Styela clava: one gene and its partner. The protein of the gene in region 1 binds, or shares a complex with, the protein of each later gene. Links are inferred from orthologs where the notes say so. Each region holds a gene or a part of one and is shown on either strand. Other genes may lie near its edges. The genes, in order: target of rapamycin complex 2 subunit MAPKAP1-like and rapamycin-insensitive companion of mTOR-like.

What was found.
Region 2: the proteins of target of rapamycin complex 2 subunit MAPKAP1-like (region 1) and rapamycin-insensitive companion of mTOR-like are in contact, whole or in part, in a cryo-EM structure (PDB 7PE7), measured with the Homo sapiens proteins. The link is inferred for Styela clava from reciprocal best matches to the Homo sapiens genes MAPKAP1 and RICTOR. Residues at the interface, in NP_001006618.1 of Homo sapiens: Ala2, Phe3, Leu4, Asp5, Asn6, Pro7, Ile9, Ile10, Leu11, Ala12, His13, Ile14, Arg15, Gln16, Ser17, His18, Thr20, Ser21, Asp22, Asp23, Thr24, Met26, Cys27, Met29, Val30, Leu31, Ile32, Asp35, Val36, Ser84; in NP_689969.2 of Homo sapiens: Arg108, Gln137, Glu140, Thr144, Leu147, Arg148, Arg151, Lys152, Thr155, Arg182, Met183, Arg185, Ala186, Ala189, Cys192, Glu193, Leu196, Leu220, Arg222, Ile223, Glu225, Ala226, Leu227, Thr229, Thr230, His233, Asn236, Arg293, Trp295, Glu844.

Annotation. Positions count from the first base shown.
Region 1 is NC_135251.1:20,789,011-20,796,184, forward strand, and holds the start of target of rapamycin complex 2 subunit MAPKAP1-like, read left to right. Parts: upstream 1-4,024; 5' UTR 4,025-4,375; coding exon 4,376-4,561; intron 4,562-5,024; coding exon 5,025-5,184; intron 5,185-6,508; coding exon 6,509-6,636; intron 6,637-7,174. Other genes in the region: N-alpha-acetyltransferase 50-like, read left to right, coding at 990-1,024, 1,418-1,554, 1,964-2,150, 2,399-2,567. UniProt on the Homo sapiens protein: Component of the mechanistic target of rapamycin complex 2 (mTORC2), which transduces signals from growth factors to pathways involved in proliferation, cytoskeletal organization, lipogenesis and anabolic output.
Region 2 is NC_135255.1:15,845,975-15,853,347, reverse strand, and holds the start of rapamycin-insensitive companion of mTOR-like, read left to right. Parts: upstream 1-4,072; 5' UTR 4,073-4,106; coding exon 4,107-7,373. UniProt on the Homo sapiens protein: Component of the mechanistic target of rapamycin complex 2 (mTORC2), which transduces signals from growth factors to pathways involved in proliferation, cytoskeletal organization, lipogenesis and anabolic output.

The DNA of each region.
Region 1 (7,174 bases):
TACTAGGCCTACTACTAATTTGGTTCTACAACACTGGTATAAAAACAGTAGCAAAAATCTTGCTTGTGAATTTGTTGATTTAAATTCAATGAATAATAAAGCAAAGTATTAGATTATATATATATTATATATATAACAGCACTGCTTAACAAAGGTATTGTTATAATCTGTTTTATTCATTTGGATTTTGTGTCACTTATGTATGAACATTTGTTTTTTTTTATCAATAAATGCAAAATTGTTGAAAGCCACTGGTCATACCAACTATTCAATCAGTGTATTTTATTAGTTTTTCTCTATCATGTGTTTGTAAATGCATATATTTCTGTATACTTATCTACAATCTGATAATATACAAACTTGCAAAAAAGGTGAAATGAAAATCGTTCATGTTTTATTCATTTACAATTTTCTTACCTTATGCTGATTTTTGTTTCTCTGTTTCAATTGGATTTTTAATGAAATATTTGTCCAAGGCAAAGTTACAAAATCTCAAATAAGACTTTGATCTAGTAGTCTCTACATTTCCTTACATTTTAACTTACTTCCCTATTGTTCTTGGAGAGTCCACAATTTTTTTTTCTCACTATTGGAAACAAAATTCAACAATTGATGACCATTATTCATGTGCATGCTATCATTATTTTTGTCATTGTTGAAGTATGCTTGTCTGGAAAAGTATGACTTTGGTCAGAAGAAACGCTATAGAAATGCATTCGTCGTAGTGCCGCAGGACTCATGGGGTCACCATGAATATTGTCCATAGCTTGTGTTGGTGAATTGGTTCTTCCATTACTCAGAAAAATGTTGAGACCCTGATTATATGTTCTTACTGAGTTTTGTGTATTCAAATTTTTTTTTTTTCGATTCCCTTATTTTAGAATTCATACTATTTATTGTCTAATTGTGAAACAATTGTCAACAATCTTGTTCATCGACGTCAACTGCAGTGAAGGTCTGTGGAAAATTAACTAGCGTTTGAAATTTCAATGAAGAATTTGTTAGTTCCTACTGCAATGGATGGGTAAGCTATTATTTTCAATTTGTTAATCGAAAATCTTGCACTACTGACCCATGTCCAGATTTCACCAAAGGTTTCTTTCTGTTCTGTTACATCACTCTTATGCATACAAACTGATTATTTATGTTCCCTCCCTGTAATGTCAACATCCATACATCTGCAAGCCTGACATGGATTGTCGAATAATCAAAGAATTACCTTGTGTAATATTATGGTCATCTTTTACTGAGATAGTATGAATATATATCAATTTGTCATCCTTAGCATCTTTGGTGGCACCTTGCTGTTTGGTGCAAAGCTTTCTGGTACATTTCACTGTTAGATGCATGGAATTATATGTATCTTTGAGTATTTGTTCGATTTATTTAAAATTATTATTAATTTTTTTTATTTTAGAGTTCGTATTGAACTGGGAGATATCACACAACACAATATAAAACAATTGAAACTCTTGAATCAAGTTATTTTTCCAGTTTCATACAATGACAAATTTTATAAAGATGTTCTTGATGTTGGAGACTTGGCAAAGCTCGGTAAGATGATGTTTTTTCATTCAAATCACTAATGTCCAAAACTGATAATTTATACCACACAAATTATAAGCGAATTGGCATATTTTGATAGTTAAATTTTCCTTATTTTCATAAGAGACTGAAGTTATATGGCGCGGCGATGTGGCTCATCATGCTAAGTGGTAGGAATACGCTCGCCACTGCACCTCTGCGGCTTCCACCACCATCAAGTCCATGCTTCCGAAAACAAATAAGTAACTAATCCCATACCCGACATGGAATGGTAACCAGACGAGAGGTCGTGGTTCGCCATATATTAAGCCGTCTTATCGGCTTTCCTCTCACCCTGGATAAATATGTAAATCCCATCCTATCCTTATATTACACTTGAAAATCTGTGTATTTGGCATTTGAAAATACTGTTTTTCAGCATTTTTCAATGATATAGTGGTTGGTGCAGTATGTTGTCGAATAGATAATTCAAAAGGAAAAAGGAGATTATACATAATGACGCTTGGTTGCTTAGCACCTTACAGAAGACATGGTGTTGGTACAGTATTGCTCAACCATGTCTTCAAAATATGTGAAGCTGATAAAAATATTACAGCAATATTTTTGTGAGTATTTTATTTCCTGTTGTTTAGAAACAAATGTGTATTCTCAAAGGTTTGGGCTGTTTATTTTTTTTTCAAGAATACCTCGTTAATTTTGGAGAATTCTAGTTTAATATTATCAACTATTCAACCTATTCCACACTTTCAATAATGCTCCTCATGCCAAGACTATTCTAACCTTGAATATGAATTCATGACATTTTTTGTTTCAAGCGCTTCTACTAACTCCTGTTTATGATTATTATTTTCAGACACGTTCAAGTCAATAATCAATCTGCTCTGGATTTCTACATGAAATTCGGTTTCGAAATTGTTCAAACTGAAAGCCATTATTACAAAAGAATAGAGCCTTCCGATGCCTATGTATTAGAAAAAAAGCTTGAGAACTGTGCTGGAGCTACATTCAATGGGAAGCCTTGATTCCATTCAGATTGCTCAGCACTTTTCATTTGATTTATGTTCCAACTCCAGTGGTTTGGTTGAAGCTCTTCCATGCATGTTACAACAGTCTTAAATATAAAAATATTTAGTTTTATAAAAACAATGCCTTCAGTTTTGGTGTGTCGTATCTATTTAGAAAATTTTTGTCAGTACGTATGCAGCTCTGTGCATGCCAGGGAGTGTTCTCATCATTGAGTTACATTTCATTCTTGGCTATTGCTATGTAAACTGTGTTGACAAACTGAAAATACATTAGCAATTGGCTTTTAAACAAAATTCCTAAATTAGGACATGCTAAAATCTCTTGTTATATGAAAAATTTTATCTTCAATGGTGCAGTGTACAAGTTTTACAAAGTGTGAGAAAGAAAAATGCCTTGAATAATAAAATGTTTGTTCTATTCTGTATGTGTGAAAATCCCATTCTAGAAAAGTCATTTTTATTTGAACAACCCCTGCTGTTCATCTTTTCCAGTCAGCATTCCAAAGACATTTATGGGTCAATTGGGGTTGGGTATCAATTGTAATGGCATGGGACAAAATATTTCATTCATATTCACTCCTATAAACGTCTGTGTTTGAGTACAAGCCTAATTATGATTGGTCAAATGCAAGCAAAAAAGATTTTTACATAGAACTTGAGTGTTTATAATATTTTAAAATCACATTGAAGGATTCTTGTTGGCCAAGGCCTAGATGCTAATGATCTTCAGTTATATTCACTTGTTGGACACGTAGTGGACATAACAATCGTTTCAAAATTTTGTTGTTATTGTTATTATTTGTCTCCGTTAACACGTTTTGAAGAAATCGCTTTTCTCTTCGAATATTGGACCAATTGCTTTGAAATTTTCAGTGGTTGAAGATGAAAAATTACTCCAGAAGGCTATTACTTTTTTTTTCGCTATGACGTCATCCAAATTATGTGTCCATATATTTGAGCATAGCTCTCTTGTTTTATAAGTGTCGTCACAGTGTCACTAATTCATAGGTCTATATGAATATATACATTTTCGTGAGAACTCATGTGGGAATTGATAGTGTGCCTTGAAAGGTTTCATATTGAGTTTAATGCTTGACCCTGCTTGCAAGACGTATAGGTAATTGTGCACTGTACTCGCTTGTATTGAGCCCAGTGTTTGTTTGAACTTGGAACGGACTAAATATTTTATTTTTCTTGTATTTTAAAGTGAATCGCTTCAAATAAACGTCCTTGGAATTACAGCTTGGTTTATTTAGCGTTGACAGTGAGATACAAAAAATTGGATGTGTTTTTCGCATATTAGTAGTATATATTTACGATTAAAACAGCTTGAACGGTAGAGCGAAAAGGCCGCTAAATGGTGGGAAAGGAAAACGGCGGTAAATCCTAAAGAGTAACAATTCCACCAGATTTTAACTGCCGGTCGTTTATTGATATTGGTGAATGTAAGCAATTGTCAACTTCAATAATTAAAGCGAATAGGGGCTTTCATATTTGGCTAAAAGAAAGGGAAGGATGGAAACAGTTTAATGGTTTCATCACAGGCGGGTAGTCGCGCACGGTTTGAAATGTTATGACTCCTAATACAGTATATGGAGACTCGATGCACCTCTGGGAAAACCGCGGTGTTGTCAGTCTGGCTTCGAAGACTAAAAGACACTGAAATAAGAAAATTACGCGAGTGCGAACCGGCGAGAGAGTTCATGAGTTTGGGTTTGCTTGTGCTCTTTTTGATTTTCTATTCATTAGCGACGCGGGAAAATTCTTGATGAGATAACAAATGCTGGTATTTATTTTACCAAAGCATGGCGATGTTAGACAATCCAGACTGGCTCTTGGATCACATTCGCCATTCCTTCATTACAAGCGATGACACAGGAATGTGCGAAATGGTTCTTCAGGACAACGATATGATGACACTGTCACAACACAGGTTGAGAATTAAAGAGTTAAAAGAAGCTAAGCGCATTGAAAGGGCGAAAAAGAATCAAGTAAGTTTAAATTTTCTAGTAAATTCAAACAATAAAAATTTCTGAAATTGATGTCTCTTCGTTCAGACGTTCTGGTATTATTGCAAATTTAGCTTTTGATTTCTTATGAACAGTCATTGTTGAGGTAGGGGAACAGCTGTTTTATTTGATAGGTATCCTATTTCTGTATTTATCTTGAGTACGGTATCTTAACTTCTGAACTTGTATTTATGATAAAATAAATGCAATAATGGCTTAGTTCATCTGGATCTATATGATAAATATTGTGTCATTTCGCTTATTTCTGTTTTTTTAGTAAGTTTCAAAATAATATCTTAACATAGTATATTTTGTATAGTGGGTCAAACGCTAAAGACATAGAAACTCGTTGTTGTGTATGGTCCAGTATGGAATGAAGGATTGATTGACAAAAGACCCAATAATAATAATACAAGATATTTACAGAATATCATTGATATTCCAGAAAAAAGGTTTACCTGAATCATTTGGAAGATCAACACCTGTTGGATCTCCTCGAAGAACACCATCAGAATCGTCAACTACTTCATCTTCTAATCCTGTTATCGATGCTGATTCATCTGAAGCACTTTCTCCTCTTGCTCCATCACCTGATATTCTTTCTGGTTTGAAATTTTTCATGAGGCTTTTTTACCTTCATGAGCTACTACTGATACATGAGGAAGTACTATATGTTGAAGGACAGAATTGTTTTCATTGTATAGAGGGTTTTGATGGCCCAGTCTGGATTTCATGGCCTTTTTGAACGAGAAATCGGCTGTGCAATCAGAAATTCTCACGTGCAAATCTGAATTCCCGGCTTGCAATTATAGCTCACAGCGTGCAAAACAACTGTGCCCGCGTGCAATGATTTTCGACTTTAGATACTGTTCAGTACATCCCCGTAAAGTTATTGGATAGAAAATATGTTGAATCAGAACAAAATGGACATTCGACCTTTGACCCCGAATATTATTACTATACTTCGTCACTAATTTTGAGAGTGTTTGTGCAACTTTAGATAGACTTTAGGTACATCCGTGTAAAATTATTGTATAAAAAATATGTAGAATCAGAGCCGTAACTGACCAGCGCCGGCAAGTCTGGCGATCTTTTCGTCCATAACTATTCTCACGGGATTCCTATCATTCAACACGATACGCCATACCGCTAAGCAATTTTGTAATACGGTCTTTATTGCTTCGCATTTTTCGATCAGGCGAAATCTTGCAAGCTAGTATATAGTCGACAATTGTGGAGCTACAATTTGTTGGCATCTTTATATTACTGGATTATTAATTTAAAAGCCATTTAAATCAATTTTCATTGGTGAGCAATTGCAACTTTTCGGCGTGCAAAATTTAATTTGCTGGCGTGCATTTTTGCGGAGTGCTAGCGCCCTCTGGTGTGCACCTGCCATGGAATCCAGTATGGTTGATGGCCAAATCTGATAAATGGTTATAGATGATACTACTGGTGTTGAAAGCATTTTTTTCCAAATAGGCGATTTCACTTTTAATCTGTCGCAACAAAAGAACATGGTAGTATAGATCAATATGATACGTATGGAGGCTAAATATAAACAAGCTATAACTTTCTTATTTTCACCTTATCTGAACAAATTTTTTTTCGATATTTAGTTTTGCCTGTATACCTAGTTATTGTTTTGTCAACTGTTATTTTTGTCATACCACAGAAATTTAATAATTGAAACATTTATAAATATAACTAATTGGACAAAAATATTATTTGTTCCATTATAAACGATTATGTTAGTAATAGTCAAATATGATACAGCAGTATTTTTCAATAATCATTGTATCTGGAAGTTGAACCTACATATTCTGTACATCTACAAAATCCTAAAAATCCATCATTTTTACGATTGGTTTTGCATTTTAACCGAGTTGATGCACGGCATGAAAGCTAAACAAATGTATTATTCTACAGGTTGGGATTTTGGGGTTCGTAGACGATCAAACACCGCTCAGAAACTTGAGAGAATTCGTAAAGAGAGACAAAGTAGAGTCAAAGTAAACAATGTGCCTTGGAGAAAAAAGAACCCAAAGATAACCGAGGTATACTTTAGATTTCTATGGCGCTTGAGGCATAGAGGCAATTCAATATCAATTCTATTTATGAATTTATTTGTGCTTTGCAATAATAGGTTGGTTGGTTGGTTAATCAGTCGAGAATAGTAAAATATTTGTGAAATTTCAATTAACATTTTCTGTAAAGTATAGAATAGCCATCTATTTATAAACCATTTTGAAATTACTATAGCACAATAGCTCTCTTTACATCAGGGTTTCCCAAACCACGCAATGGCTTCACCAAGGGTCCATGACGATATGAAAAGAATGTGATCGATCTTTAATGATTGATTGCAATGCGTCCTTTGGTTGAGCATTGCCGATGAATGCCTGAATCCATTTCTGTCAGGAAAGACAATTAAAATTTTATTGCCTCTTGCAAAAACATACTCGTATTAGGCAGCATTTCCAGCTCTCACCAATATGATGACAAATACAGGAAACTTTGATTTACATGATAAACTCAATATTTCTATCATCCACCATCATTTGATGTTTATTATTTCTGTATCATTTCTATCCT
Region 2 (7,373 bases), on another chromosome or scaffold:
CGAAGCAGGCTCGAACACCATTCGTGCTATGCCTTGAAAGCAACACACATCCGCTCGTTTTCGTCTCGTCAAGTATGTGCATTGGAGCGTGCTATCGAATACGATCTTCGGCCAAAAATGCCGGAGTTGCGCATCATATTGGTCTGAGTTACTCTGCGATATGTCCTCAATTAAGAAAGGAAAATACGAAGATGAAAACAGAGTTGTCAAGTCAGGGTGGGAAGAAGAAAGAATACGCTTTTACCAGTCAGGAGAATTAACTCTTGTGGTTAATCTGCCATAAGCTACTAAGTCAGAATAATTAGAATAAAGTCAGCAATGTTAAACGGCACCATGGAACGAATCATGAAAACTTCTTACGAGACTACCCTCGTAAATCAGCAATAAGGAAACACAAATTAAATGAGCTCAAATTGTGCATATATTTGAGCATAGCTGCCTTATTTATCTATTTATTGTTATAAGACTCTTGTGTAAATTTCTTTTCTGTTCATGGTATTTTAATAATATTAATAAATTCACAAATTTTGCGGCTCATTTAAAGTTCTGATTTGCAGCATGCGGCTCTTATACTAAAAAATTGTGCCCACCCCTGCCATATATAGTCGCACGATATATATTATTAAGCATGCCCATGACCGGATTCTCTATTAAATTGACCCATTGAAATATCGGTCGTGCATAAATCACGACAAAACACCGATTTGGCAATTGGCAACTTTATTTAAATTACTTTCGTTAAATTCACGAAACGGAACTCATTTGCAACAATGATTGTTGTTATTTATCGCTGGTTATATATTTTTATATTTACGCAATATTTCTCGACTGCTCACAATTTTTCTATTTTGACCCATGTTGCCGCTCCGAATGGAGTAATTTGAAATCGTCAAATCGAATGAATATGCTTTTCGTTAATTGCCATTTTCAATAAAATTTAATTGAATCACATTTCCAACACTTGACGCCATGAATTTACGATCAACAAAAAACTGTTGATGCTTTTATTTTAGCCGACATTGATCCAATCGAACAGAATATCGTTATTACTTTCAAATCTACGCCAACTCGTCAGCGCCCGAATGTCTGGCATCAAATCTGTAACGGCGACGCAACATGACGTCGTCTTCGAAGTTCAGCGTGTGCGTCAGATGCTATTATTGTGATAAAAAAATTAATCGAATTTCAATTATTTATCGGTTCTCCTACGACATCTCGCGATCAGTCTAATTTCTATATACATTGATAACGCCCTCTATCGAATGTCGGTATTTTGACGAAGTTCATCAGTAGAAGTCACCATTTTGGGTGCATTTGAGCCGCTAGAAAACGGAGTGTCAATATTAGGATAGGATGCTACAACGCGATTTTTTTAATCAAAAAATAAATTAAACTGCGCGATCGAATATGATAACAGATTTAGATATATAAGGACTCACTATAGAAACTGCCAGAAGCACAATACCGGTATGGCGCAATTTAGTCGAGATATACCGTAAACGATTGAAAATTTGGGGGTCTAGTACCGTAAAACCGGCTAACTTCGGATGGTTTCACTATACTTCAATCAATATCTCTGCCGTTTGTTGTCCAATTAGCGTCATATTTGGAATATATTACATTGATGCAATCTCTACACATGCATTTAATTTTCTCGCCGATCGGATCATTTTTTCTGTCTTAATTGTCTCATTTTTCACTACACCACTAAATATCTAACTTCGGATGGGGGAATCACCTCCGTGCGTGACCGCAACTCGAGCGAAAATTGCGTGGCGAAGACAAAACACGCTTTACGTGGTTGCGAAAATTCCAGATGTTCAATCCACGTCGCGAGTGGCGGTGATAATGATGACCGTAGGATTTTTGGTGCGGCACTTTCAAGTTGTTTTTATAATAAAATGTCTAGTTTCATTTTCTCTTATCGTACTACCGATCATAGCCGATTTTGCAATAGCCGATAATGTTTGGATAGCGTTTGTATATTCCAGATCGTATATAGTCGCACGATAAATATTATTGAGCATGCATATGACTGGATTCTTTACTAAATTGACCTATTAAAATGTCCGCCGTGCATAAATCACGACAAAACACCGATTTGGCAAATATTACTTTAGTTAAATTCATTAAACGGAACTCACTTGCAAGTGTTGCAACAATGATTCTTGTTATTTATCGCTGATTATATATTTTTATATTCACGCAACATTTCTTGACTGCTTACAATTTTTCTATTTTAAACCATGCTGCCGTTCCAAATGGTGGAATTTGAATCGACAAATCGAACGAAAATATTTTTCGTTAATTGCCGTTTTAATAAATTAAATTACATTTCCAACATTTGACGGCATGAATTTAAGATCCACAGGAAACTGTTGATGTGTATATTTTAGCCGATATTGATCCAACCGAACAAAATATCGCTGTCATTTCAAATATACGCCAACTCGTCGGCGCCCTAATGTCTGGCGTCAAATCTGTAACGGCGACGCAACATGACGTCGTCTTCGAAGCGAGCGACGTCAGGGTGACGTCGGTTCAATGTGTGCGTCAAATGCTATTATTTTGATGTAAAAAGACAATTTGAATTTTAATCGTTTCTCGAGTCTCCTGCGACATCTCGCGATCAGTCTAATTTTGTAATACATTGGTAACGCCCTCTATCGAATGACGGTGTTTTGACCAAGTTAGCGCAGTTAGAAGTCACGATTTGAGCCGCTCGAAAACGGAGTGTAAATTTTTTGCTAAAACGTGATTTTTCAATCAAATAATAAATAAAATTGCGCGATTGATCATGATAACAGATTCAGATATATAAGGACTCTCTAGAGAAACTACCAGAAGCACAATATGACGCAAAGTTACAAGGCATCCGAAGTTAGCCGGTTTTACGGTACCGTACCGGTATAGTTTAGGGGTCTGGTATAGTTTAGTACCACACGTACTTCTCTACTTCTAGTTGACCTGGCTCAACAATTTTTGCATATGTCAATCCTAACCCCCACCTAACTACGTCACCGAAAAACGTCATTTCGACGTCACAGTGGCGCAATAAGGCCCACCTAAGTATGCGGATGATCGTGTTGGTGAGGTCGTAGACTCGTAGTGACCTAATTTTTGGATGGCATAGTCAGGTGGGGGTTAGGAATAGCATATGCAAAATTATTGCTACGCCCACGGGAAGTACTTGTGGTACTAAACTATACTAGACCCCAATTTTTATAGTTTGAAGGGCCTTAAGTATAAGTATAAGTTTATTTCGACTCCATAATCAGCAATAGACGATAAAATAATAGATAAAAACAATTATGCCTTATTACCTGACTGTGACTTAATTTTTAAATGAAGCTGTCAGGTGGGAGTTAGGATTGACATATGCATATGGGCTTGGCGGTGTGCCGGTGTGGCGCTTCATGCTAAGCGTTAGGAATACGCTCGCCACTGCATCTATGATTACCCTTTGTGGGTTCGCAGGTTTGAATCCCATGCGGGGATGATCATGTGCGAGAGGATTGCTGGACTCCTCGTCGCCGTGGGGTGGTTCATGTAACCGCTGGTCGGTTACGGCTTCCTCCACCATCAAGTCCATGCTTCCGGAAACAAACAAATTACTAACTGATCCCATACCCGACATGGAATACTGGAATAGTAATCAGACGAGAGGTCGTGGCTCGCCATATGGTTAAGCCGTCTTATCGACTTTTCTCTGGCACGGGATAAATATGTAAATCCTATCCTATCCTTGTTATGCAACGCCCGCTAGAACAGAAGTACCGGCACTTGAGGTACGAAACTACACTAGATTCTGGTTTAGTTTGCTCTCCCGATTCTAGACTATAATCAGTTTTATATATTTTTGTTTTATCTAAAATTTTTAATTTATCGTCTATTATGCTGGTTATCGAGTCGAAATAAACTTATATTTATAATAATACTGTCCAATCCTGTTTTAAGATTGTGACTTCAGCATCTGATTACTGGATTAGGTTTGAAGTAAATCTAATTTTATTTAATATAGTACCAAGTACTATAACGTAAGATTTATTTTTCCTAAATCACTTACAGATTTATTTCAATATGTATAGTTTCGTGTAAATATCAAAATGAGTGGCTCAAGATATAGAAGCTTTCAATCAAGAAACGGAACTAGACGTATTCGTGAAAATGCTGGAGATACCATCCCTTTGGATATCACACAGGATCCTTATTTATTGCTTATGACAATTTTTCGAAGTATTCAAAGCAGAGGAAGCACTGCAAAAACTCTGCCACATTTGAACAATTTGATCAAAATACTATGCAATCGTGAAGACGCGACTTCTAAATTTTTAATTGAAGATATTATGATTTGTCTAAAACCAGCATTGGTTTCTGAAGTAAAGGAAGTTCGAGCAGCGTGCATTCGAGCTTTACGTTATTTAGTTAATGATGCACATTCAGTAATACTTTTGACAAAACTTCATTTGGATAGTTTTATAATAAAATGTCTAGACATAAGTCATTTCAATGAAGTCGAGAGAATTCAATGTTTGCGTCTAATTCGAAAGATTCTTCTCATTGCAAGAATCGAACGCAGAGAAGCTGGAGAAAAAACGAAAATGTCAATCATTCCTAAATCATTTGCTTTATGTATTATGTCAATTTCTGCTGATGGAGCTGTGGAAAGAGATCGTGTCTATAGAACCTGTCTTGCGATTTTATGTGAACTTGTTGTTTTAGAACCTTCATTAGTCATTGAAAATGGTGGACTACTTGTAATGCTACGTGCAGTTCTTGAATGCCATATGTACAGAAGGATTAACGAGTCATTGTGTATAAGCCTTGGATTAATGCTTAATCATCCATCCTCACGGAACCTACTGAAATTGACATTCAGTTTTAATGCGATATTTGCTCCTTATACTGACGTAATGTACCGTCTACATGCTGATGTGGAAGAATCACAAATAAGAGAAGAAAAAGAAATGAGGTTTTCCGCTTCAAAGATGGCGGTTGTTTCTGTTCTTCGTTCATGGTCTGGTCTACTTCACCTTTGTCAAACTTCTGCGATAAAATCTTTTTTAAGTACTTTGCTGATTCCTGATGCAGGTATTAAACGTGCTACTTTGTCTGTATTATTTGAAATCTTCTGCTTAAATGAACCTAAAGCTTCAGAAGATTTTATTGAATCACTTCTAAGCATTGGTCCCAGAATCTTTCAGGAAAGCTGGCAACTTACAAATATTTTTGTTGTTGGTGAAGGAAAATGGTTCCTTCCAAGCTTAAATAATGAACGATTAGACTTGACTAATTGTTATATGGCTGTGCTGCTTTCAATTTTTATTGAAGCCAATATTATACAGCGTTTGGTTTCAGTGGTTATGGGTCCTGATGAATGTGCCTCTATAATTGCTTGTATACTTCTAGGGAAAATTTTAAACCTTTCTGATAAATTACATTCTATGCCACAAACGGCGGAATTATGGATGACTAGTGCTTCATCTGCTTGTAAAGAATGCTTGCCAGATCTAATGAAACAAGCAACTTCACAGAGTGTGAGTAAAGAAGAGCGTTTACGTGCAAGTGTTGCTGTAGGTAGGTTAAGAAAGATACATAATTTTCTTAAAAATCGACCAGCGATGCATACAGTATATTTAGATGAGTTATTGCTTCGGGTCAAAGCTGCTGAAAAAGCATCAACAGAGGCAACCCAAGTGGAATCACCAGTTAGGCCTGGCTCTTCTATATCGCTGCGACGCCTCACTGTAAACCATGTTGAAGACTCGGATGAGCCCATGACAACATTATCAATTCGTAGAAACAGATCCCTTACAATTGTGCGTAACTTCGCTAGCGAACAGACATCCACAAGAATAAAAGACACACAAGTCATTGCAGAAAGGGACTTTACTAAGTGGGATTGGGAAGCAATAACATCATTTCTTGTTGAAGGGTGGTCTAAAAGGATGGTTAACACAAGAGAATCTCATTATATTGGCTCTGATGATACAGAATACCATTTTATCAAACGACTTGTTACTTTTTATATTCCGAGTGATGGAGAATTCTACAAAGTTGATAGAGCAAGAGAGGGCGAGGGAGATAAACCTCATGTGCAGTCAGGTTGCCATTTGGTGAGATATTTATCAACTACAGCTGGAGAGGGAATGAAACTATTATCTGTTTTGTTGAAAAGCATCGTCGAATATTTGGCAAAACTTATAAAAGATACAGACGGTATGAAAAAGGCAACAAGCACTTTTTTATCAAGTTGTGCAAGGGACTATTTTCTCTTGCTCGGAGCATTAACAGTTTGGCGCCATGGTAGTGAAATTTTGCGCAAGAATGGAGTGTTTGATTTTTTTACGTCACTCGCAAATGATGAAATTCATGAAAATTTATTAAAACTTGTAATATCAAGTTTATCTTTTTCTGGGGAAAGTCTGAGTTATTTTTTCTTGAAGCAAGTTCTTGTAACTTGTAATGAAGCAGCAAGATTGTATGCAACTTGCTATTTACGAATATTACTTAGAGCTAAAATGCCTGGATTTATCAATTGGGGGGTTCATTTACTAATAACACAACTTTATGACTCGAGCCAAACTGTTGCCACTGAGGCACTTGATGTTCTTGATGAGGCTTGTGCTGATCATGAATACTTGAACGTTGTTGTTGGTCTTCGTCCCGGTTTGCTACATCTTGGTGAAAAAGGAGCGCTGCTAATTTGTCGTTTTGCGTCTCATCCGCTGGGTTTTGAGTATCTTTCTGCAAATAAATATCTGTTGAGAGAGTTGGACCGATGGTGGGATTCTGCCAATGATCTCTATGTATCAAGAGTAGAAGAACTGTTGAATATCTCACTAACATGCTATGAAAAACCTACTCAACAAGGTGGGTTTGTGCGACGATCAGGAATTAAGAAAGTTGTCCAGCCTGTTCATGTTCCTTCACATTTATATGGAGAGTTGAGCCAACATGAAAGAGGATGCGAATTACTTGAAAAAAGGAATATTGTTCCAAGATTAGTTCAAAAATTACAGGATGGTTTGCACATCCATGAAGCCTTTTGTGGAGATGTAGATAACTTTGAATTTAATTTATCTTCTTACCAAAAGATAGCCGAACACTTGGTTCAAATAAAAAGCAGTTTATGGGCCTTGTGCCATATTGGCAGCAGCAGAATCGGACTTGAACTCATAAAAGATCTTGGTGTGTTGGAGGTTTTACAAGATCTTGCGGAACATTCTCCTGTGTATTCAATTCGTGGGACATGTTTTTATTGTATGTCTGTGCTTTCTCAAACTGTTGCTGGCACAGAAGAGCTAAAAAAATTAGGATGGCTGAGTACGCTTAAAAAAGTTTGGTCTGGATCAAATCCAAGCGAATCTGAA